Anolis sagrei: one gene and its partners. The protein of the gene in region 1 binds, or shares a complex with, the protein of each later gene. Links are inferred from orthologs where the notes say so. Each region holds a gene or a part of one and is shown in the gene's direction. Other genes may lie near its edges.

Region 1 (8,246 bases):
GGCCCTAAAACGTGTTCTCGACTTATACATGAAGTATATATGGTACTCCCGGGACCATTCTGTGCAACTGACAATGCAATTCTGAAAAATCAATCAGCTTGAATGGGTAGTGTCTCTAAATCCTTGAGTGGACATTCCCCAGATTGGAGATATGGCACACAACTCATCTACAGGAAAAATATGGAATGGGAGAATTGATTCATTCTGCATGTATGAGAGCCGGAAATGATTTTGTTAGGAGCAGATGTTGAATGGATTCTGGAATGAGAGGATGGGAAGTAGGAACGACTGGAAGGAAGAGGCACAGGTGGGAAGGAACGAGGCAAATTTTCAGTTCCTTCTTTCTTTCTCTTCCTGGCTAATTTATCTTGTCATTGTGCATCATTTTTATTATCATTTCCCCATTTATTTTGCACTGTGGGATCAGCTATGCCTGGCGCCCATGAATGAGCGAGTGAATGACTGAAGATGGAGACCATCTGTTCCTCTGAGGAGGAAAGGACATTTGTGAAGATCAGTGTGTGTGGGCCAAGGGCTGAAGCAGCTGCGTCCAGCCATTTCCATCAGTGTTTTTTTTATATGTAATTATTATTGTCGTTGTTATTAACAATAAACCAGAATGATGTTGCACGTTGAACTAGTGCTCCTCTGTTGTCTTGTTTGTTAAAGGGCAACTTAAGATCACAAACTTCCTCTGAATTGTGGATACTGGGAACAGAACAACAGGAAAGTCACTTCCCTTGTGCTCTACTTCATGCAGTGTTTGAAATAAAATACTTAGTGAAAGACTTTGCTTAAGCAAAGCAGATCTGCTTGTTCTGGTTATTGTTATTTGCAGTCATTTGGCTTCATCTTATAACAACCCTATGAATGAGAGACCTCCAAAGGGCTATGCTCAAGTCTTGCAGACCTATGCCCCTTCCACACAGCTGAATAAAATCCCACATTTTCTGCTTTCAACTGGAATATATGGCAGTATGGACTCAGATAATCCAGTTCAAAGCAGATATTGTGGGATTTTTTGCCTTGATATTCTGGGTTATATGGCTGTGTGGAAGGCCCCTGTGTGGTATCTACACTGTTGAGTTAATGTAGTTTGACACCCCTTTTTACTGCCCTGGCTCAATTCTGTGGTATCCTTGGAATTGTAGTTTGGTGAGGTAATAGAAGAAGAGACATCTAAAGACCTTGTGAAAGTACAACTCCTATGTTCCATAGAACTGAGCCATGGCAGTTGAAATGAGGGCAAACTGCCTTAATTCTACAATGTAGATGCACCCTTAGAGTCGTAACTTCCTTGATTATATCAAACCCCCTGTAGAGCAGTCTTCCCCCTTTTCAACTGCCTTCCGCTTTACCCAGCATCTTTTTCTGTGAGGCACATTATCAAATTATATGTTCAAAGTACAACAGTCTCAGTTTAGTCTTATTGTCGCCTTCTGAAAACTCTTCTTATTCTTTTATAGATATCTTCACTGCGTTCTGTTAAGGGGAAGAGGAATTTAAATTTCTGAAGTTATTGAAGAATCAAAAGATTTCCTCCTTATGCAAAAGTATGATTTTACTATCACTTCTCTGAGAGGTGGTGCATTCATTTAGTATTGTTATGAGGGTTGAATGAAAAGTAATGCCTCCACCATTGTTATTTGGGTTTGGATGGGAATATTTTAATAAATCAAATGCAGAAATAATCCTTAGAACGTGCTCTTTACCTACCACTATTCACTTTTCCACAAAATCACCAGACAATTGGGATACATTTCTGCCAACGATGAACAAGTTTTCTGAAGCTCTCAGGGAAGAAGTCAAAACTCTGTTTCCGCAACCCATTGAGCACAGATCTTCCAACAGCCAAGCTAAAGCAATAATGTGATCCACCCATTATTGCAAAATGCCGATTATGCTTGAAATTTCTCTCTGAATGATATGACAATCATCCTGAATCAATCTGTCAACCTTTTGCTTGTGAAACTTGGTGGTTGATGTCCAACTCTTGGTTTGTCATGCAAGTCAGATGTTCCCACCTCAACATCTTTAAATTTACTCGCCCAATGACGCACAGTACTCACATCAACACAATCACCACAAACAGCTTGCATTCTCTGGTGAATCTCCTTTGGGGTGACACCTTCTGCTGTCAAGAATTCAATGACTGCACATTGCTTAAGTCGAACTGACCAACAGTCTGCGCAGGGTTCCATACTTTGCACTTTAACAACACAACCGTTCAATGCAAAGGTTTCCTGCCAAAATGGAACTGTAGAGGAGAGTCTACTGAACAAGCCATTACCTGCCACATACCAGTACTGCCATCTGTTAAGGAGTTACAAAGGTGGAGGCATTACTTTTCATCCAACCCTAGTATGTTTTCTGTTCTGCCCATTGTGCTTAAAAAACAACAAAAAAGATAGCAGGCAGAACTGAAGAAATCCGTCTTATAGCTGTCCGTGAAACTTAAGAATGAGATCCATTTGCCGTTGTAGCTGAACAGAAAACCTTTTTCCGTGCTCCAGATGGAAGACCAGTTGTGCTGGTATGGCTGCACCAGGAGCTCCTACATTTTTTTTCTATTGAGTGTTTGCATGTATTCCAAGATTCTATGCATTTTGCAATAAGGTGGTTTCCCTTGCTCTGCAATTATAGGGCCAATGACCCGTCAATCATCATTATGTTCTTTAGTTCCGCCCCTTTCCCCAGGGCTCTGGGAGGGAAAAGAAAGACTTCAGGCAGTCTTTCAGTTTTGGAAGCCTAGTTACAGGACGTGAGCTTTCCCCACCTGTAGAGAAGCTTCATTTCTCACAACATCCAGGGGAAACAGCCCTAAAGCTTCTAAGGAAAACAGTTTGACAGCACAACCCTTATTGGGGTTAAAGAAACAGCTCCACATCATTTGTGGAAAAATTCCAAAAAGACTCTAGCTGGAAAATCTACAAAGTCTTGGCTGATAGGTCTACTTGGGTAACCAGAAGCAATTGGAGCTGGGAATAGAGCCCACACCAGCAGAGCCTAGAAAACAGATTGCCCCAGGGAGTGGTTAAAAGGGATTTTCCTCTTAAAGGAAAGAAACAGTTCACGAAGCCAGTTGCCTGTCCTTTGTGGGAAAGATAAGAAGCATTTGTTTGACTTGTTGAAGATCTAAAAAGTATTTGATTGTTTGTTGAAGACCTAAGCAATAATAAAGAACTTTGTTAAACCTTTTAAGCTCCTAAAGACTTTTGTATAGGAAAATCCTTAGAGCCTCTCAGCTGAGGCACCCTGGCTTCCCGCTGGGTACAAAGAGCACGTCCTGTTCAAAAGCCAATTGCTATAGGCCCAGCGCGTGACAGCACACCAGTGTTCTCAAGAAAGGCTACTCTTGCAGACATTAGTAATGGCAGAGATTCATACTTGGACAAACATTCTCTTAACTCACCAAGTCACAGATCTTTTAGATCCTTTTGCTTAGGGTATGGCAACTCTTAACTGGTCTGGGGTCTGTTTTCTGCCTGAATACCTTTCATAGTAGGGTTACCATCAGGGTCAAGGCTTTTGTTGTTGTTCATTCGTTCAGTCGTCTCCGACTCTTCGTGACCTCACGGACCAGCCCACGCCAGAGCTCCCTGTTGGCCGTCACCACCCCCAGCTCCTTCAAGGTCAGTCCAGTCACTTCAAGGATGCCATCATCCATCTTGCCCTTGGTCGGCCCCTCTTCCTTTTGCCTTCCACTTTCCCCAGCATCATTGTCTTCTCTAGGCTTTGCTGTCTCCTCATGATGTGGCCAAAGTACAACTTTGTCTCTAGTATCCTTCCCTCCAATGAGCAGCCAGGCTTTATTTCCTGGAGGATGGACTGGTTGGATCTTCTCGCAGTCCAAGGCACTCTCAGCACTTTCCTCCAACACCACAGCTCAAAAGCATCGATCTTCCTTCGCTCAGCCTTCCCTAAGGTCCAGCTCTCACATCCGTAGGTTACTACAGGGAATACCATGGCTTTGACTAGGCGGATCTTTGTTGCCAGTCTGATGTCTCTACTCTTTACGATTTTATCGAGACTGGACATTGCTCTCCTCCCAAGAAGTAAGCGTCTTCTGATTTCCTGGCCACAGTCTGCATCTTTGCGCCTAGAAATACAAAGTCTGTCACGGCCTCCACATTTTCTCCCTCTATTTTCCGGTTGTCAATCATTCTTGTTGCCATAATCTTGGTTTTTTTATGTTTAGCTGCAACCCAGCTTTTGCGGGGAGGTGTAAGCTGGCCCTGATTGTTTCTTGTCTGGAGTTCCCGTTTTCTGAGTGTTGCTCTTTATTTACTGTCCTGGTTCCAGAGTATTTTTTTTAAATATTGCTAGCCAGATTTTGTTCATTTTCATGGTTTCCTCTTCTTGTTGAAATGGTCCACATACTTGGCTAATCAAGCTGGCCAACTGCAACATTCACAGTTGCCTCAAACAGACAAGAGACAAATATATAAACCCCACTTGCCCTTTGTAGGCTTGGGCAAACTTGGGCTTGGACTCCAACTCCCAGAAGTCTCAACTGCCTTTGCCAGTGAGCAGGCATTCTGGGAGATGAAGTCCAAAGACCAGAGGGAGGCCTCAGGGCTCTATGGCTGATCATTCTATAAGCCTTGCCCTCAACTGCCCAATCCCAGCGCGCCATAGGCAGTTGCCATGACAACTGGCGAGCCACTCATTGAGCAGGACCGTCCCGGAAGGTAAGGCACTCTAGTGTCCCACTTAACGACCCGTCGCCGAGCGCGCGGATTGGTTGGCGGGGCACGTGCCCGGAAGTGCTGCCAGTGAGGCGAAGGAGGCGATGGCGGGGGAGCTGGAGCGCTGGGTCTCCGGGCAGTTGCATACTTTGCTGGGCCTCAGCGAGCGGCATGTGGTGGCTTTCATGGTGGGCCTGGCCACCCGAAGCCGCACTCCCGAGGACCTCCTCGCCCGCCTCGAAGAGACCGAGACCCTCCGCGTGAGCGACCCGCCCGCCCGCGCCTTCGCCCAGCAGCTGTGGGAGCGGGTGAGCATGTCAATCACTCAACAGGGGCGGGGCTTAAGTAGAAAGGGGCGGGGCGTAGGTGGAAAGGGGCGGGGTAAAGAGGCAGGAGCTGCATGCAGTTTGACAACACTGTATGTGTTTCTCTTGGCTAAACTCTTCTAACACTAAGACTATCTTCAATTTATTTCTAAGGCTAAGGCTATTTATTTAATCAAATTATTCTTCATACTGGGTTGTTGTAGGTTTTTTCGGGCTGTATGGCCATGTTCTAGAGGTATTCTCTCCTGACGTTTCGCCTGCATCTATGGCAAGCATCCTCAGAGGTAGTGAGGTCTATTGGAACTAGGAAAAAAAGGTTTATATATCTGTGGAATGAACAGGGTGGGGCAACAAGAGATAGGGCCTTCTCGGTGGTGGCTCCTCGGCTGTGGACCACCCTTCCCGTGGACATTAGACTGGCTCCTTCCTTGATGATATTCCGCAGTAAGCTAAAGACTTGACTGTTCAAGAAAGTGTTCGAACAAGAAGTGCAATGATTGGTAATGGCTATAGGAATGGAACAACGGGAAATGATACTGGGTTGTGATTTGGACGATGAGACGACGCTGAATGGTTTCGTAGTAATCATAGAATCATAGAATCAAAGAGTTGGAAGAGACCTCATGGGCCATCCAGTCCAACCCCCTGCCAAGAAGCAGGAATATTGCATTCAAATCACCCCTGACAGATGGCCATCCAGCCTCTGTTTAAAAGCCTCCAAAGAAGGAGCCTCCACCACACTCCGGGGCAGAGAGTTCCACTGCTGAACGGCTCTCACAGTCAGGAAGTTCTTCCTAATGTTCAGATGGAATCTCCTCTCTTGTAGTTTGAAGCCATTGTTCCGCGTCCTAGTCTCCAAGGAAGCAGAAAACAAGCTTGCTCCCTCCTCCCTGTGGCTTCCTCTCACATATTTATACATGGCTATCATATCTCCTCTCAGCCTTCTCTTCTTCAGGCTAAACATGCCCAGTTCCCTAAGCCGCTCCTCATAGGGCTTGTTCTCCAGACCCTTGATCATTTTAGTCGCCCTCCTCTGGACACATTCCAGCTTGTCAATATCTCTCTTGAATTGTGGTGCCCAGAATTGGACACAATATTCCAGATGTGGTCTAACCAAAGCAGAATAGAGGGGTAGCATTACTTCCTTAGATCTAGATACTATGCTCCTATTGATGCAGGCCAAAATCCCATTGGCTTTTTTTGCCGCCACATCACATTGTTGGCTCATGTTTAACTTGTTGTCCACGAGGACTCCAAGATCTTTTTCACACGTACTGCTCTCGAGCCAGGCGTCCCCCATTCTGTATCTTTGCATTTCATTTTTTCTGCCAAAGTGGAGTATCTTGCATTTGTCACTGTTGAACTTCATTTTGTTAGTTTTGGCCCATCTCTCTAATCTGTCAAGATCGTTTTGAATTCTGCTCCTGTCCTCTGGACTATTGGCTATCCCTCCCAATTTGGTGTCGTCTGCAAACTTGATGATCATGCCTTCTAGCCCTTCATCTAAGTCATTAATAAAGATGTTGAACAGGACCGGGCCCAGGACGGAACCCTGTGGCACTCCACTTGTCACTTCTTTCCAAGATGAAGAGGAAGCATTAGTGAGCACTCTCTGTGTTCGTCCACTTAACCAATTACAGATCCACCTCACCGTAGTTTTGCCTAGCCCACATTGGACTAGTTTGTTTGCCAGAAGGTCATGGGGGACCTTGTCGAAGGCCTTACTGAAATCCAGGTACGCCACATCCACGGCATTCCCCGCATCTACCCAGTTTGTAGCTCTATCGAAGAAAGAGATCAGATTAGTCTGGCATGACTTGTTTTTGATAAATCCATGTTGACTATTAGCGATGACTGCATTTGTTTCTAAGTGTTTGCAGACCGCTTCCTTAACAATCTTTTCCAGAATCTTGCCCGGTATCGACGTGAGGCTGACCGGACGGTAGTTGTTTGGGTCGTCCTTTTTTCCCTTCTTGAAGATTGGGACCACATTGGCCCTCCTCCAATCTGCTGGAACTTCTCCCGTTCTCCAAGAACTCTCAAAGATGGTTGCCAATGGTTCCGAAATGACTTCCGCTAGTTCCTTCAGTACTCTTGGGTGTAGTTGATCTGGCCCTGGGGACTTGAACTCATTAAGAGCGGCCAGGTATTCCTGGACGACTTCTTTCCCAATTTGGGGTTGGATGTCCTCCAATCCCTCATCCACTCCATCTTGCTGAGGTTGAAGACTCTCTCCTCCTTTTCCTTCTGCTTCAGGGTAAGCTTTATTTAAATTTAACAGCTTTCAGCGCTGCTTTCTTTGAGAGGCGGGGCTTCCTGAGTTTGAAAATTAACTGCTCTGTTTGAGGGGAGGGGCTTCCTGAGTCTCAGAGGCGGGGCTTCCTGGTTATCCTATATAAACCAGTGTCTGAACCCAAGGGGCAGCTGGGCTTTCCACAGAAGTTGAGGAAGCAGGAACCCATTTTGTTTCCTTCTGCTTCAGGGTAAGCTTTATTTAAATTTAACAGCTTTCAGCGCTGCTTTCTTTGAGAGGCGGGGCTTCCTGAGTTTGAAAATTAACTGCTCTGTTTGAGGGGAGGGGCTTCCTGAGTCTCAGAGGCGGGGCTTCCTGGTTATCCTATATAAACCGGTGTCTGAACCCAAGGGGCAGCTGGGCTTTCCACAGAAGTTGAGAAAGCAGGAACCCATTTTGTTTCCTTCTGCTTCAGGGTAAGCTTTATTTAAATTTAACAGCTTTCAGCGCTGCTTTCTTTGAGAGGCGGGGCTTCCTGAGTTTGAAAATTAACTGCTCTGTTTGAGGGGAGGGGCTTCCTGAGTCTCAGAGGCGGGGCTTCCTGGTTATCCTATATAAACCAGTGTCTGAACCTAAGGGGCATACACTCAGTAACCTATACTTTCACCCCTGCATACAGACAACAACATCAAACACACACCAAGAGGAGGTCATTAGCAACCTCCAGATGGAACAAACACGAAAACTTCCCATCTCATGCACAAGCTGTGGCATGTTCAGCTTTTTCGCACTGCAATTACTCAATTACATCTGCCCCAAGTGTACACAGATCACTCGCATGGAACACAGGATACGACAACTCGAGGACCGTATTAACACCCTTAAGGACATTCAGGAACTTGAGCTGTTCTTAGACACCACACACCACACTGGCCTAGACACGCAGCCCATATCACACCAACATCACGGGGAGGCTCAACAGAACAGCACCTCAGATGT
Region 2 (8,072 bases), on another chromosome or scaffold:
GGCTCCACTTCATCCTGGAAAAATTAAAACATTTAAAAAACACCAAGATATCTCTACCTTACATTTGAAGTCTATGTCATGTCATGAACACAGTAGGTTGCTGTTTCTCAAGTGAGTGACTCAGTAAAATTTGGAGCCCCCAGTGACGCAGTGGGTTAAACTGCTGAGCTGCTAAACTGCTCTGACAGGAAGGTAACAACACGCCATGCAGTCATGCTGGCCACATGACCTTGGAGGTTCTACAGACAATGCTGGCTCTTCGGCTTAGAAATGGAGATGAGTACCACCCTCCAGATTTGGACACGACTGGACTTAATGTCAGAGGAAAACCTTTACCTTTACCTCAGTGGAATTTAATGTGTGTGATGAAGTAGTAGGACAAAGTACTGTGAAGCAACTGGAAAACCAAGATGATGATATACTTATTCATCATTTTTTATTAGAGTTCTTCATTGTTGACTGGTATATCAGGACAGAAGAGGCTTTATGTAGGAAAGTAATCATTGGCAAGAGATAGCTAAGTTAGAACTGGAATTATTCTTAAAAGGTCAGAGATATGAGTGAGCAGAAAAGTTTGTGGTAGGTTTTGAAAAAAGAATCCCAGAGAGCTTATTACAATGTTTGGGAACATTTTGCTGATGCTGACCTCCATGAAGTAAATGGCACTTCTCATAATAATTTGAGGACGTTGGAGTCCAATGAAGGCAAAGGCATATTATATGCCATCTGCTGCAGGAAGAGTATTTTGCAAACAAATTGTTCCTTCTCTTTCAAAAAGTCAGACTTCCATAGGTGGTTTCTGTATACCGAAGCATCTTTAGTCTTGCCTTTCAGAAACAAGAAATGCAGGGGATAGCATTCCTGCGGTGAAAGTGCCTGCTGCTTCATCAGCAAAATGGTTTATAGCTACAGCATCTCAGGAGATAAGTGTTATATTTCCTCCTATGAGATAAGTGTTAACACAGTTAGTCCTTCTATGAGACAACTGAACTGTGGCAATTTCAGCAACATCTCACTGCGTTCAAATGGAAATGCTAATTAGCAGCACAGCATTTTCACCAGACAAGGCTTGCATGAAAAAATACTATCCTGAAAAGGCATACAGCCACATTATTATTTTACTGTTCCAGTCTTACAATCCTATTGCTTTTCATGTGCATTTTGGCTGACATTTTGGCCTTTTTGAACTAAAGGTTTTATTTTCTCAGCTAAGATGGCAACAACTTCCCAGCTATTGACTTCAAACTGAAAAATAGAGCTAAAGTCGAGAATCTGCAAGACGCCAGTTTTAAAGGAATTGCACTGGCTGTTTATATTCAAGCTGCTGGAAATAACATTAAAACCACGTTGGGACCTTGATAGATGACAGTGGGCCTGAGATTTGAAGTCTGCTGGAGGGGCCCTCCTTTGAGTTCCACTTGTCAGGCCAATACATTGTGGGAGGACATAAGATGTGGGGGGGAAAGGGGGAAAGGCTGGTTGCAAAAAGAATAATCCAACCCAAAATACGTTCTTTCTATCTACTATATTTGATCCACACTATAATATTTGAGTGTGTTTTTTCTGTGGTGACTTTTGGTTTCCTACCAGTGAAAACAGTGAGCACCCTGTCCTCCTGGCCAAGTTGCTAAATGCTTAACTCATATCTGCACTTCATTTTTTTTTTTTGTCGTGTCAGGAGACACTTGAGAAACTGGAAGTCATTTCTGGTGTGAGAGAATTGGCCGTCTGCAAGGACGTTGCCCAGGGGACGCCTGGATGTTTTGATGTTTTATCATCCTTGTGGGAGGCTTCTCTCATGTCCCCACTTGAGGAGCTGGAGCTGGTAGAGGGAGCTCATCCGCCTCTCCCCGGATTCGAACCTGCGACCTGTCGGTCTTCAGTCCTGCCGGCACAGGGGTTTAACCCACTGCGCCACTGGGGGCTCCATCTGCACTTCATGACTTGTCTTCTTCTGTCCCAAGGAATCAAGGCTAGAACTTCAGTGCAATGTTTTCCTCTGAGGCTGTAACTGATTTATACAAGATTATTTATTTTTTATTTGTGAATAAAATAAGGAAATGAATAAGGGAAGGGACCACGTGGTTCAGAGAGGGAACGGCACACTGAGGGCGGGAATATACTTCATAGCTGCATTTGGTGGAAGGATAGAAAGGAGGGGAGAGTTAGGATAAGGTTTAGAATAAAGTTTATGGTTTGGGTTAGGGTTAGGGGTTAGGCTTACGGTTAGGGAAAGAGTTAGGGTTAGGGTTTTTTGTTTTTCTGTTGCCATGTCAGGAATTACTTGAGAAACTGCAAGTCGCTTCTCATGTGAGATAATTGGCCATCTGCAAAGACATTGCCCAGGGGACACCCGGATGTTTTGATGTTTTACCACCCTTATGGGAGGCTTCTCTCATGTCCCCGCATGGAGAGCTGGAGCTGATAGAGGGAGCTCATCCATGCTCTCCTTGGATTTGTGAACCTGTGACCTGTCAATCTTCAGTCCTGCTGGCACAGAGGTTTAACCCACTGCGCCACCGGGGGCTCCAGGGTTAGGGATTAGGCTTAGGGTTAGGGTAAGGGTTAGGGTTTGGGGTTGGGTTTTACCATTAAAGAACTCTTGGTTATAGTATGATAGCTGGGTCTGGAAGCTCCGAGCATTCCAGAGATGCTGCAAGGCGGCTGTGAATAAGGGAAGAGAGGGAGCAGTGAGAGCGGGGAGAGCGAGGGAAGGATAGAGAGGAGAGGACGCTTAGGGTAAAGGGTAGGACAAGGTTTAGGGTTTGTGTTTGGGTTAGGTTTATGATTAGAGTGAGGGTTGGGGTTACATTTAGGGTACACTTTAGGGTTTGGGTTAGCGTAAGGGTTAGAGTAAGGTTTTGGTTTAGAGTAAGGGTTAGATTTAGAGTTTGGGTAAGGGGTTAGGCTTAGGCTTACGGTACGGTTCAGGGTTAGGGTTTCCCCATTAAAGAACTCTTCCATTCCTTGTATATTATCTGTCTCCGGCCTGGCTTACATTAGCTAAGTCTCTCTTGCGCAAACAGCGCTCCCGAAGGAGCGATGTGGCATCTCCATAACGCTTGGAGCTTCTGGACCCAGCTATCATACTATTACCAAAGTCTTACATCCCTTCTATAATATCTGTGTCCGGCCTGGCTTATATTACCTCAGTCTCTCACTCTGCCCCCGTCTCGGTCACGTGTTCTGTACCGTGTTACGCAAACAGCGCTCTCGAAGGAGCGAAGCAGAAATAGTGTAACACTCGGAGCTTCCAGACCCAGCAATCATATTATCACATGGCTTTGTCAAACTACAACCAAGGATTCCAAAGCATAGAGCCATGGTAGTTAAAGTGGGATCAAACTGCATTAAATCTACAGTGTACATGTAGCAACATAAGTCTTTGGCCTGCATGAGAACACACAGGAATACATCGGTGGCGCAGTGGGTTAAAGCCCTGTGCCGGCAGGACAGGTTGCAGGTTCGAATCCAGGGAGAGGCGGATGAGCTCCCTCTATCAGCTCCAGCTCCTCATGCGGGGATATGAGAGAAGCCTCCCACAAGGGTGATAAAAACATCAAAAATCATCCGGGCTTCCCCTGGGCAACGTCCTTGCAGACAGCCAATTCTCTCACAACAGGACACTCCTGAAACGACAAAAAAAAATTGCAGAAATGTTTGCCTAAGAATCCCTTTGGAAGGGGACTAAACATGATTTGTTTACAAATGTGCATGTTAGCTAGGAATCCATAAGCATTGAACGCTAATCATATAATTGAAACCCAATTGTCATATTTATTTATTTATTCATAGCAGCACAATCATTAGATTTGGTTAAGGATGTCCTGCCAAAACAAAGGTTGTGGAGTCTAATCAACTTTTTCCCATGTTTTGATGATAGAACCAATTAGGAAATGACACTTTATAGCCCAGGAACAAAAATCACTTTACATAAAATTAAAGCTAGATTAAGGTAAAGGTTTTCTCTTGACATTAAGCCCAGTCGTGTCCGACTCTGGGAGTTGGTGCTCATCTCCATTTCTAAGCCGAAGAGTCGGCGTTGTTCGTAGACACCTCCAAGGTCATGTGGCCTGCATGACTGCATGGAGTGACGTTTAAAGCGAGATTAACATGGGAAAATAACCATCAGAAAGGAAGGAGGGAGTCTTTGTTTGTGTGTCTGCGTTTTGTTGTTATTTTATAATGTTTTGTTCTGTTTTTATATAGTTCTTGTTCTCATGTGCGCGCGAGTTTCTTTGTGAATAGTAGAAATGGCTTAGTTCTAGAGCTGACTCTGTCCTAGTGACGTCACTAGGGCCACAGATCCCCCCCCCCGCCTAGAAATACAATATTTATTCCTTCCGGAAGTCCCACCTTCTGTTTTGTAGCTGATTGGCAGGCGAATTGGCGGAAGTGGCGTCATCGCAGCAGCGTCAGCTCGCGCGCTCAGTAATGGCGGAGCTCTGGAGCTGACGGTAAGTTGTGGGGAAGAAAGGGAAGCGGAAGTTTCAGTTTGGGACCCTTCCTCTCTCTCTCTCTCTTTCATTGTCTCTCCGTTCGAAGGGAGGTGGCGGGAAAAGGACAGGAGTTGCTTGGCAACGGCCTTCCCGTTTGGGAGGGCGAAAAGGCTTCACATCTGTTCACTGTTCGCCTTAGTTCCCACTCCCTCTCCCAAGTTGACTCCCCAGGCCGCTTGAACTCCCAGGACTCGGTGGAAACCTGCGAGCTGTGGGTTGATGAGGCGCCGGCGCTCTTCAGGCGAGAAGGCTCAAGGCCTTGTTAAACTACGACTCCATTGCATTGAGCCATCGCAGTTACAGTTGTGTCACACCTCATTAAACCTACACTGTAGCGAAGAAAGCTGAGAGGAAGAAAATAAACACGTCAAAGTGTGTTCTACACTTCTTGCATAGCCAAAAAGACAAATCAATGGGTCCTGAAGCAGATTTGATAATCTGAATTATATGGTGATAGCCATCCCCAGCCTTGCGTTGCTGTGGCCCACATGGGGGTTCTGTGTGGGAGGTTTGGCCCAATTCTATAGATGGGGTTCAGAATGGTCTGTGATTGTAGGTGAACTATATATCCCAGCAACTATATATCCCAGCAATTCCTGCTTCTTGGCAGGGGTTTGGACTGGATGGCCCATGAGGTCTCTTCCAATTCTTTGATTCTAACTACAACTCCCAATTGTCAAAATTCTATTTTCCCCAAACCCCACCAGTGTTCACATTTGGGTATATTGAGTCTTCGTGTAGAGTTTGGTCCAGATCCATCATTGTTTGAGTCCACAGTGATCTGTGGATGTAGGAAAACTACAACTCCAAAACCAAAGGACACTACCCATCAAACCCTTCCAGTATGGGAGAACTGTGCCAAGTTTGGTTCAATTCCATCGTTGTTGAGGTTCAGAATGCTCTTTGATTGAGGTGAACTATAAATCCCAACAACTACAATTCCCAAATGACAAAATCAATTTTTTGCATGAAGGACATACGTTGGGTTGTTAGGTGTCTTGTGTCCAAATTTGGTGTCAATTCGTCCAGTGGTTATTAAGTTATGTTAATCCCACAAATGAACATTACATTTTTATTTATATAGGACTAGCTGTCCCCTGCCACGTGTTGCAGTGACCCAGTCTGTTGATCTGGAAAATAAAGTCATGAGAAAGTGTTGGTTTCTAATATATGTATTTCCTTTATGATTGTGAGTAAACAGTATTTCTTGTTGTTTCTTTGTCAGTGTTGATGTGGAGAGTGTCTGGTTTGCTTACTCTGGAATATGCAACATGGACATTGTCCTTCTTTAAGGGTCTCTTTCAAATCTATGATACTATATCTGTGTGTGAGAGAATCATATCTATCTATCTATATTTATGACTGGATGGGTCTTTGTCAGAAGGGCTCTGATTACATTTTCTTGCCCTGGTGAAGAGAGTTGGACTGGATGGCCTTAAGTATTTTCTGTTGTAAACTCCATCTGTGTTCATATTTGGGCATATGGAATATTCATGCCAAGTTTGGTCCAGATCCATCATTGTTTGAGTACATAGTGCTCTCTGGATGTGGCTGAACTATAATTCCCAAACTCAAGGTCAATGACCACCAAACCTTTCCAGTTTTTTCTGTTGGTCATGGGAGCCCTGTGTGCTAAGTTTGGCCCAATTCCATCATTGGTGGAGTTCAGAATGCTCTTTGATTGTAGGTAAACTATAAATCCCAGCAACGACAATTCCCAAATGACAAAATCAATTTTTTTTGTGTGGTGGACATACATTGGACTGTTAGGTGTTTTGTCCAAATTTGGTGTCAATTCCCCCAGTGGTTTTTGAGTTCTGATGGCAGCATGAACTAACACTACATTTTTATTTATATAGATTGTAGATCCACCTTGAGTCTGCAAGGGCTGTTGTGGATAGTAGGGTGAGTTGCATGCCTTTTATGCATGGGGTCACCATAAATCAAAGTTGACTTTGTAGTAATTAACAACAACAACCTCCACCACCCTATGTCAGGCTATGCAGATGTTATTGTTTCTTTACTGTTATTGGAACATATAGAAGAGGGAATTTCAGTAGATGTTACTTGCCCCATAGCTGGGTAACAGTCAAAAACTTCCTGAAGTTTCTACACAGCCATTAAAGGAATAGGAGCCCTCTCTAGTTTTCAGTCTGGCTTCCCTAAATTGGAGGCTGTTTTGCAGGGTTGGGTGAATATGCTTCTTTGCCTCCTCTTTCCTCAACCTCTCAATGCCATGGAATAATTTCTTCTGCGACGTGTCACTTCGGATGTGCTGACTTGCTCATTTCTCGCAATTTGTGTGAATATGTATGTGAATGTATGTGAGATCAGTAAATGCAAACCAGTTTTCCGATATCTAACCCCTCCAAGCTGTAATCTGGCCGTGTGAGTTGTACCCATAACTACATCTTTCATCTATGGCATGGTGTGCCTTTCTTTCTGTCTGCCTTGTCTTTTGCACTTCTGCATTTTTTGTGGCTCCACATCATTTTCTACACACACTGACTAATGAATTACCAAGAAAATAATTTTGTGGGTATTTTTAATCTATGAACATTTTTGACAGGTTATAATAGGTCTAGATTAAATAGGAGACTTGCAAAATTGCCTTAGTTGCATTTTCTGGTGTTTTTTTTAAAAAAGATGTTGTTTTTTATTTACAGATGAACTGTTTTGCCTGGAAGAATAACAAATATCCTTCAACTTGATTTCTGCACATTGTTCATTATCAATTCAAAGCTTGTAGTGGATCAAGAGGAAGAAAAATGAAGAGTGGGGTGACACAGGTGAATGTAAGTTCTTTATTGGCTCTGCAGGTTGGCATTGGCTTCATTGGCTTTGCAGGTTGGCAAGGAAGATGGTTGTTACTTCTTTCATAGAAGGAACAAGGTAATGGAATGAGTGACCAGTTTCCTGCTCTTTTTGTGTATTGCCATGTAAAGTGATGGCGGAGGAGAAAAATTAAATGGAGTCTGCTTCCCTGCTTATTCACATTCTCATTGAGAACCATGAACACTTTTATGTGTGCAGAAGATGAGAGAGCAGCCAGATATGCATGTGCTGCTCTTAAAAAAAAGAGGACTGATTCTTGGCATTTTATCTAGCTGGCACCAAATCCCATCTGATATTGGAGGAGATATAACTAGGACCTGTTCATTTCAGTTATGTTCAATTAACATTCATTTCTTTGAAACCATAGTGAGTCAGATTCAACCTGCAGAAAAGGTGGAAATGTTGTATCCAGTGTAAATGAGTTCTTTTAGAAGTGAGCTATGGGAACACCGACTCCTCCTAATTATTGGACTGCTGCTCCCATGAACTCTAGTCACCATAACCAGTGGTGAGGGATGATGAGAGTTGAAATCCAGAAACATCTGGAGAGCTGCATGTTCCCCATCCATGGACTAGATTCTCAAAACCACTTCATGAGTGGCAAGTGGATGGTAGGAGGGAATGGTGTTTTTTCTTTTCTGACTGGAGTCTTTTTGTCCAACATCAAGTGCCTCTCTACACCACTCTGTATATCTGATGAACAGCTTTCTTTCATGTGCAAGGGAATGTAATGGGGAG
Region 3 (7,876 bases), about 240 Mb from region 1:
CCAGAAAGAACATTTCATTCCAATTTTCAACAGTTTCTGGATACAGAACAAAAGAGAAACATGCTGATCCTAGGAATGAATTGTGTGACACTTGGAAGGTGGGAGTTAGGGTGTTCAAACTACAGGAAAAAATAATCCATCTAAACTTTTAGGAAAAAATTCCTGATGACAACAGCTGTTCAACACTGAATTATGCTACCTCATAGGGTGGCAGAGTCTCATTCAGTGTAAGTGTAATAACAGAGGCTGAATGATTATCTTTTGGGAGAGCTTGATTGTGAATTCATGCTTGGCATGGGGTTGGACTAGATGACCACAGGGGTCTCTTCCTACCCTATGATTCTATCTGTAACCTATAACTCTTTTAAGATTCATTTGATTTAAAGTTGGTATGTTAATCTTAGAAACAAAAACACTTTTTGAAAAAAACTCCAGGCAGAAGAAACACCAATGATCTTTCAGGCCATTCCAACAACCAAGGATGAATCCTTTTGTTTCCTTCTTTTAAGAAGTGCATACAGAAGACTAGAGTATCTTAACTTTGGGTTTACCCTTTGCTTTATTTTAATCACTTCACACTTAGAGAGAAGCCTACATTTTTAGTAAAACAAAGGACAACATCATTAGAAATTCACACTAATTTCATTATCACAGCAACATAATATATTTCAATTAGTTTCACATGGTATGGTTGCTGATGACACGATAAATAAATAACCAGGTGCACTGTTTAATGTAATGCATTTCATGAATGGTACTATGGTGGCACAGTGGGCTAAAGCGCTGAGCTGCTGAGCGTGTTGATTGAAAGGTAGCAGATTTTAATCCGGGCAGCGGTGTGAGCTTCTGCTGTCAGCTCCAGCTCCTGTCCACCTAGCAGTTTGAAAACATGCAAATGTGAGTAGATCAATAGGTACCGCTCCGGTGGGAAGGTAATGGCATTCCATGCAGTCATGCCTGCCACATGACCTTGGAGGTGTCTATGGACAACGCCGGCTCATCAGCTTAGAAATGGAGATAGGCACCACACCCCAGAGTCGGACACAACTGGATTTAATGTCAGGGAAAAACCTTTACCTTTACTTACTATGCACTTTATATGTTTTTAACTTTATTATTAGTGAATGCATTTATTTGCTTAACTGTTTTAATTGTTTAGTTGATTGAATTTGTTTTATGGCCGTGTTTCAAGCAGCACTGAATTTTGCCGGGGCTGTAAGCCGCCTTAGTCGCCCAATGGAGTGAGAAAGGTGGGGTATAAATGAAGCGAATAAATAAATGCATTTCAGACAGAGTATGGGACATGTAGTCCTGCAAATGATGCTGGACTCTCACCAACCCTCACTAGTGTAAGCCATGGTAATGGATGATGGGAGAAGCGGTCCAACTGTATATGATGCATTTCTTTCCACTTATAATAAAAGTAACACTGCATTGCAGATCCATGTACAGCAGACTCTCAAGCAACCAGCAAAACTAAAATCAAAGAATTAATCATTCATTCACAAAGCTGTATTTAGAATACAGTAAAACTGTGTGTGTCTTAATTTGCTTTCAGTTACTGTATTTTAACATTAATATCAAGTCAATACAGAGTTTATGATATGGTATAGCATGAGGCATATTTTTCACTGTAACTCTCAAGCAAACAAAAACTCCATCTGATGGGTGCAGGTTAACTGATAGCCTGCTGTATTTGTAATGAATGGAAAATAATCCACATTTTATCGAACTCAGGATTTGTGTGTGTGTGTGTGTGTCAGGAGCGACTTGAGAAACTGCAAGTCACTTCTGGTGCAAGAGAATTAGCCATCTGCAAGGACGTTCTCCAGGGGAAGCCCAGATGTTTAATGTTTTACCATCCTCGTGGGAGGCTTCTCTCATGTCTCTGCAAGGGAGCTAACAGAGGGAGCTAAACCCGCTCTCCCCGGATTCAAACCACTGACCGCTTGGTCAGCAGTCCTGCTGGCACAAGGGTTTATCCCATTATAGAACCATAGAATCGTAGTTGGAAGAGACCTCATGGGCCATCCAGTCCAACCCCCTGCCAAGAAGCAGGACAATTGCATTCAAAGCACCCCCGACAGATGGCCATCCAGCCTCTGTTTAAAAGCCTCCAAAGAAGGAGCCTCCACCACACTCCGGGGCAGAGAGTTCCACTGCTGAACAGTCAGGAAGTTCTTCCTCATGTTCAGATGGAATCTCCCTTCTTGTAGTTTGAAGCCATTGTTCCGCATCCTAGTCTCCAGGGAAGCAGAAAACAAGCTTGCTCCCTCCTCCCTATGACTTCCTTTCACATATTTATACATGGCTATCATGTCTCCTCTCCCAACCTTCACTTCTTCAGGCTAAACATGCCCAGCTCTTTAAGCCGCTCCTCATAGGGCTTGTTCTCCAGACCTTTGATCATTTTAGTCACCCTCCTCTGGACACATTCCCATCTCTTCTCTGTTTCCTTTCATCTCTAATCTACAAGCTTGCTCTTTCCTCCCTGTGGCTTCCTCTCACTTGGCTATCATGTCTCCTCTTAGCCTTCTCTTTTGAATGCTAAACATGCCCAGCTCCTTAAGCCGCTCCTCATAGGGCTTGTTCTCCAGACCTTTGATCACTTTAGTCGCCCTCCTCTGGACACATTCCCATCTCTTCTCTGTTTCCTTCCATCTCTAATCTGAGTAACAGAATTAACTATCAACACGTGGCTTGTTGCATATGAAGAGCTCACCTGGCAGCGCCATGCAGCAACTCTAGCAGCCTGAGCTCAACCCAGGGTCCTTTCTCTTCCAGGAACAACTTCCCGAGAGCGACGCTTCCCCGCCGGAAATCTGGGACCAGAGCACTGAGGGCTTTACCACCATCTGCAATGGAGGGGGGGGGGAGAAAGAAGGGAGAAATATTTACTTACATAGAAGAGGGGAGACTCTTAGGCAGCCAGTATTCAACTATGTTTTAAAGCATTATGGCTTACTTCACAGTCCCTTCTCTTTTTTCACCGCGGAGTCATTCAACTCTAACTCCTTTCTTCCTTTGGACACTCCCCCCCTAGTCTGGTAATGGAATGTTCCCCTTCCCATGAACCAATCCCAACGAAAGAAGGCGGGCTTGTTGAATTTATTTATTTATCCTGCCAGGAGTGAACCAAAACAGTTGTATTGCGTTAAAATCAATCAAACAAACAAACAAAACACAAAGTTTGCAGACCTGGTATCCAGTCAATTATATTACATTTCTAACAGAACAAAGCAAACAAACAGAGAAAATACAAAATGTGTGAGTTTGGTAGTTGCTTAAATGTCCTTTGACCAGTATCTGGCCACTTGGAGTGCCTCTGGTGTTGCTGCAAGAAGGTCCTCCATTGTGCATGTGGCAGGGCTCAGGTTGCATTGCAGCAGGTGGTCAGTGGTTTGCTCTTCTCTGCACTCGCATGTCGAGGATTCCACTTTGTAGCCCCATTTCTGAAGGTTGGCTCTGCATCTCGTGGTGCCAGAGCGCAGTCTGTTCAGCGCTTTCCAAGTCGCCCAGTCTTCTGTGTGCCCAGGAGGGAGTCTCTCATTTGGTATCAGCCATTGGTTGAAGTGCTGGGTTTGAGCCTGCCACTTTTGGACTCTCACTTGCTGAGGTGTTCCAGCGAGTGTCTCTGTAGATCTAAGAAAACTATGTCTAGATTTAAGTCGTTGGCGTGCTGGCTGATACCCAAACAGGGGATGGGCCAGAGATGTCACTGCCTTGGTCTTTTCACTATTCACTATTCGGACCAATAGGAGCGCAGCAAAGTTTGTTGCCTGAAGGAGTAGAAAAGTGTTATACATTTGAGTCAAAGAAGACTTTAGTTTGTGCCTCGTCTCCAGAGACATTGAACAAAGCTCAACCAATTACACCGCACGCGCGACCCATTCTTTCCGCCCACTCCTTCCCTATGTCATCATTACACCAGCCGGGCTCAATCTACAGCTCACTGCTCCGAGGCGGATAGAAAGTTTCGGGTGGCGGTGTTCAGTCGGAAGACTTTAGGTAACGCACTTTGGACTGTTCCAATATCCAATGGGGGAGGCCTCCCGAGTTATGAGATAAGTACTGATACGGATTCGATCCATATCCTCCCATCCACTGCCTTAACAAGTTACATATTGTGAGACGCCGAGCCAGGTTCCAATAACAAGGTTTGGAGACTTGGCTTTCCTTCAGCGTTGCTCTCTCTCTTCTCTCCCCCCCGTTGCCGAAGTGGTCGCGCCCGCTTTCCAAGATGGCGGGAGGTTTGCCCTGGAGCTTTGCTTAAACCGAAGCGAAAGCGCTTTCCTTCCGTGTTTTCTTCCCTGTCAAAGGACTGGGCCGAAGGCAGCGCCATGAGCAACATCTACATCCAAGAGCCGCCCACCAACGGCAAGGTGAGGGCCCATTTCGGGAGAGGAAGAGCTGGGGTGCGTCTACGCTGCGGAATTAACGCGGTTTGAACCCGCTTTGAACTGCCATGGCTCAATGCTATGGAATCCTGGTAGTTTTACAAGGTCTTTGCCCTTCCCTGCCAAAGAGTGCTGATGCCAAACGACAACTCCCACCATTCCATAGCACTGGGCCATGGCAGTTGAAGTGGTGTCAAACTGCATTAATTCGACAGTGTAGATGCAGCCTAATAGCAAAGCTGTTGGTCTTTGATGTTAATTTTTAATCTACATTTTGTTTCTTGCCATGCCAGCTTATGTTTGTGTGGAGTTTTTGGAAAAGGGCATTCATAACATTTTGGAAAACGTCATTTGGAGATCGTAACTTTTTAAGAAAAGCATGACCTTTCAGAGAAGAGTCAAAAACGCTTTAGTGTAGACTCTTCTCTTGTGGTATACAACCAGATATAATTATGCAAGGTAATCAGTTTCAGTTGTTAGACTGAATAACCTGTTATCGCTGATCTGTTAGAAAACAGATTTTGCCAGTGCATAAATAAACAGCAGGGCAAAAGTATGACAGCTGGGATCCTACGCTGGTTGTGCAATGCGGGCATGACTTAATGAGGGAAACACGTGCGCATGACAGCGCAGCGAGTGAGAGACGCAACTGCGACAGAGTCATAGAATCATAGAGTTGGAAGAGACCTCATGGGCCATCCAGTCCAACCCTCTGCCAAGAAGCAGGAATATTGCATTCAAAGCACCCCTGACAGATGGCCATCCAGCCTCTGTTTAAAAACCTCCAAAGAAGTTGTGGGAACATTGTTTGCCAGAAAGGGGGAGAGGAAACATTTCTGTCCCGTTTATCTTCTTCGTAAACCATTGTTTATCATTTCACAGTAAATAAGTCTAACATTACTTCACTCGCCTTAAGCACTATGCTTGGCTGTTTGTTGTGCCCCCCCCCCTTCATTAATTCTGACCCACGTTGTGCACGTCTTCCCATCGTTCATTCTGACCCGCATTGCACAAGTACCGTACCATAGGGTCCCAGCTATCATACTTTTTCCAACAGCAGTGCTTCAGAAGTGTTTTTCAGTGCCCAAAAATATACTCCCCCCATAAAACAACTTGTTTTATGTATTATCGAAGGCTTTCATGGACGGAAATACTGGGTTGCTGTGAGTTATCCGGGCTGTATGGCCATGTTCCAGAAGCATTCTCTCCTGTTGTTTCACCCGCATCTACGACAAGCATCCTCAGAGGTTGTGAGGTATATTGGAAACAAACAAGGGAGGTTTATATATTTGTGAAAGGTCCAGGGTGGGAGAAAGAACAATCAGCTAACACCTCCCAACAAAGGATTCCCCTAGGCAGGAATCAGCCAGCCCTTGAAGCTGCGAAGATTTGCGATGCTAATCAAGGTGATTAACTGCAACATTCACACTTGCCTGCAACAGACAAGAGTTCTTTCTCCCACCCTGGACATTCCACAGATATATAAACCTCCCTTGCTTAGTTTCCAATATACCTCAAAACCTCTGAGGATGCTTGCCATAGAGATGGGCGAAACATCAGTAGAGAATGCTTCTTGATCATGGCCATACAGCCTGGAAAACTCACAGCAACCCAACTTGTTTTATATCATACACTCAAGAGACAAAGATTAAGTAGACTTGGATAAAAATAACATATTTGGTTTACTCACAACCTTCATGTGTTCAGCATACACAGGTGCAAAACTTATCAGTCCAGTTTCAGATATGTTTGAGATAATTCTCTGTACTATCTGGCCAGAACACTTCTTATAGCAAAACAACAGGTGTGTGATCTGAGGTCTGAAGTTTGCTATCAGCAGTCTGTAGTAATCTGCTATGATCATGTGGCCTGTAGTCTGCAATAGTCTGTCTGTCTGCAGTCTGCTATAGCTCATGGGGTCTACAGCCCCTTTTATAACTTCTTAAGAACCATAGAGCAAAGGAAGCTGCATACCAGAACATACATATAAAGAGTAAGCAACGGGATAATAGATAAACATTACTAGAGAAGGCTTGAAGAAGGATGTCATTTCAACAGTGTGGGGAATAAGCAAATTGGATGTACATTTTATTTAGTCAGAGTAGTGAATGCTGGATTTAATTACTCCGAGCACTTAATTAAATAAAAGGCATCATTGGATGTGCCTATGTGGCCTGTCAAGTGCAGATGTGACAAGAAATGGGATGTATCTGATGCATCAAGTTACGGTTTGTAATGTACATTCAGAAATGTGTAAATGGTTTATTCTTCGTTATTAAACGGGGTCTGTGTATGTTTTATGGCAGGCAAGGGCCAATATGGGCCCTCCAGGTGTTTTGGACTTCAACTCCCATAATTCCTAACAGTCGGCACCAGATCCCATTTGATCTTGGAAGGCCGAAGTTTGCCCATGCCTGTTTTATGGACTTGGAACCCAGACACATTTTTCACTGCAGCTAAAAAAAATGTTTCTGATCTCCTATTCAGTGTTCTTACCTGGTTCAGGTGCACTAAACCCCTTTGTTAGGGATAACACAAAGACATAACTGAGTGCATCAAGTTTTTATGAAATGCTCTCCAGATTAACTGACTGTTCCTGAAGCCTCCCATATGTGACCATTGCATGTTTTGTGGGAAGCAACAAGCAGGAGGGCAGATGTGCCTGGTTACATAGAATTGTAGAGTAGGAATAGAACCCAAGGACCATCCTGTCCAACCCCATTGTGGCATGTAAGAGAAGCACAATCAAAGTACCCCCAACGGATGGCCATCCCGCTTCTGCTTAAAAATCTCCAGAGAAGGAAACTCCATCATGCTCCAAGGCATGTTCTACTGTTGAGCAGCTCTTTCTGTCAAGAAACAGAAAACAAGCTTGCACCCTCTTCAATGTGGCATCCTGTCAAATAATTAAGCATGGCTATTATGTCCCCTTCTTTGCCTTCTTTGCTCCAAGCTAAACATTCCTAACTTCCACTCTTCATAGGACTTGTCTTCCAAACCTTTGGTCATTTGAGTCGCCCTCCTCTGGCCATGTGGTAGCTTGTCAGTATCTCTCTTGAATTGTGGTGCCCAGAACTGGACACAGTGTTCCTGACGAGGTTCATACTAAAGCAGAATATAGTGAGGCTATGACTTCCCTCGATCACAACACTATACTCCTGTTGACGCAACCTAGATTGCATTGCCAGTTCCTTCCTCTGAAATATAGGCTAGCCCAGGCATGGGCAAACTTTGGCCCTCCAGGCTTTTTAAACTGCTGCATCACACTTTTGACTCAGTTATGGCCTACTAAGGCCCCTTCTACACTGCCATATAAAAGCCATATTATCTGGTTTGAACTGGATTATGTAGTAGTGTAGACTCATATAATCCAGTTCAAAGTAGATAATGTGGATTATCAATTTTGATAACCTGGATTATATGGCAATGTAAAAGGTACCCAAGACACCTAGATCCCTTTCAAATGGACTGCTTCAACT

What was found.
Region 2: DHX16 (region 1) and CWC22 share a complex: the UniProt entries of both Homo sapiens proteins name them as parts of the minor spliceosome. The link is inferred for Anolis sagrei from reciprocal best matches to the Homo sapiens genes DHX16 and CWC22.
Region 3: DHX16 (region 1) and CWC27 share a complex: the UniProt entries of both Homo sapiens proteins name them as parts of the minor spliceosome. The link is inferred for Anolis sagrei from reciprocal best matches to the Homo sapiens genes DHX16 and CWC27.

The regions. Positions count from the first base shown.
Region 1 is NC_090022.1:23,746,771-23,755,016, forward strand, and holds the start of DHX16 (pre-mRNA-splicing factor ATP-dependent RNA helicase DHX16), read left to right. Parts: upstream 1-4,744; 5' UTR 4,745-4,792; coding exon 4,793-4,996; intron 4,997-8,246. UniProt on the Homo sapiens protein: Required for pre-mRNA splicing as a component of the spliceosome. Contributes to pre-mRNA splicing after spliceosome formation and prior to the first transesterification reaction.
Region 2 is NC_090021.1:188,703,263-188,711,334, forward strand, and holds the start of CWC22 (pre-mRNA-splicing factor CWC22 homolog), read left to right. Parts: upstream 1-4,398; 5' UTR 4,399-4,457; intron 4,458-6,358; exon of another isoform or gene 6,359-6,404; intron 6,405-7,165; 5' UTR 7,166-7,267; coding exon 7,268-7,294; intron 7,295-8,072. UniProt on the Homo sapiens protein: Required for pre-mRNA splicing as component of the spliceosome. As a component of the minor spliceosome, involved in the splicing of U12-type introns in pre-mRNAs. Promotes exon-junction complex (EJC) assembly.
Region 3 is NC_090022.1:268,457,204-268,465,079, reverse strand, and holds the start of CWC27 (spliceosome-associated protein CWC27 homolog), read left to right. Parts: upstream 1-4,202; 5' UTR 4,203-4,340; coding exon 4,341-4,382; intron 4,383-7,876. Other genes in the region: protein SREK1IP1, read right to left, coding at 2,723-2,735. UniProt on the Homo sapiens protein: As part of the spliceosome, plays a role in pre-mRNA splicing. Probable inactive PPIase with no peptidyl-prolyl cis-trans isomerase activity. As a component of the minor spliceosome, involved in the splicing of U12-type introns in pre-mRNAs.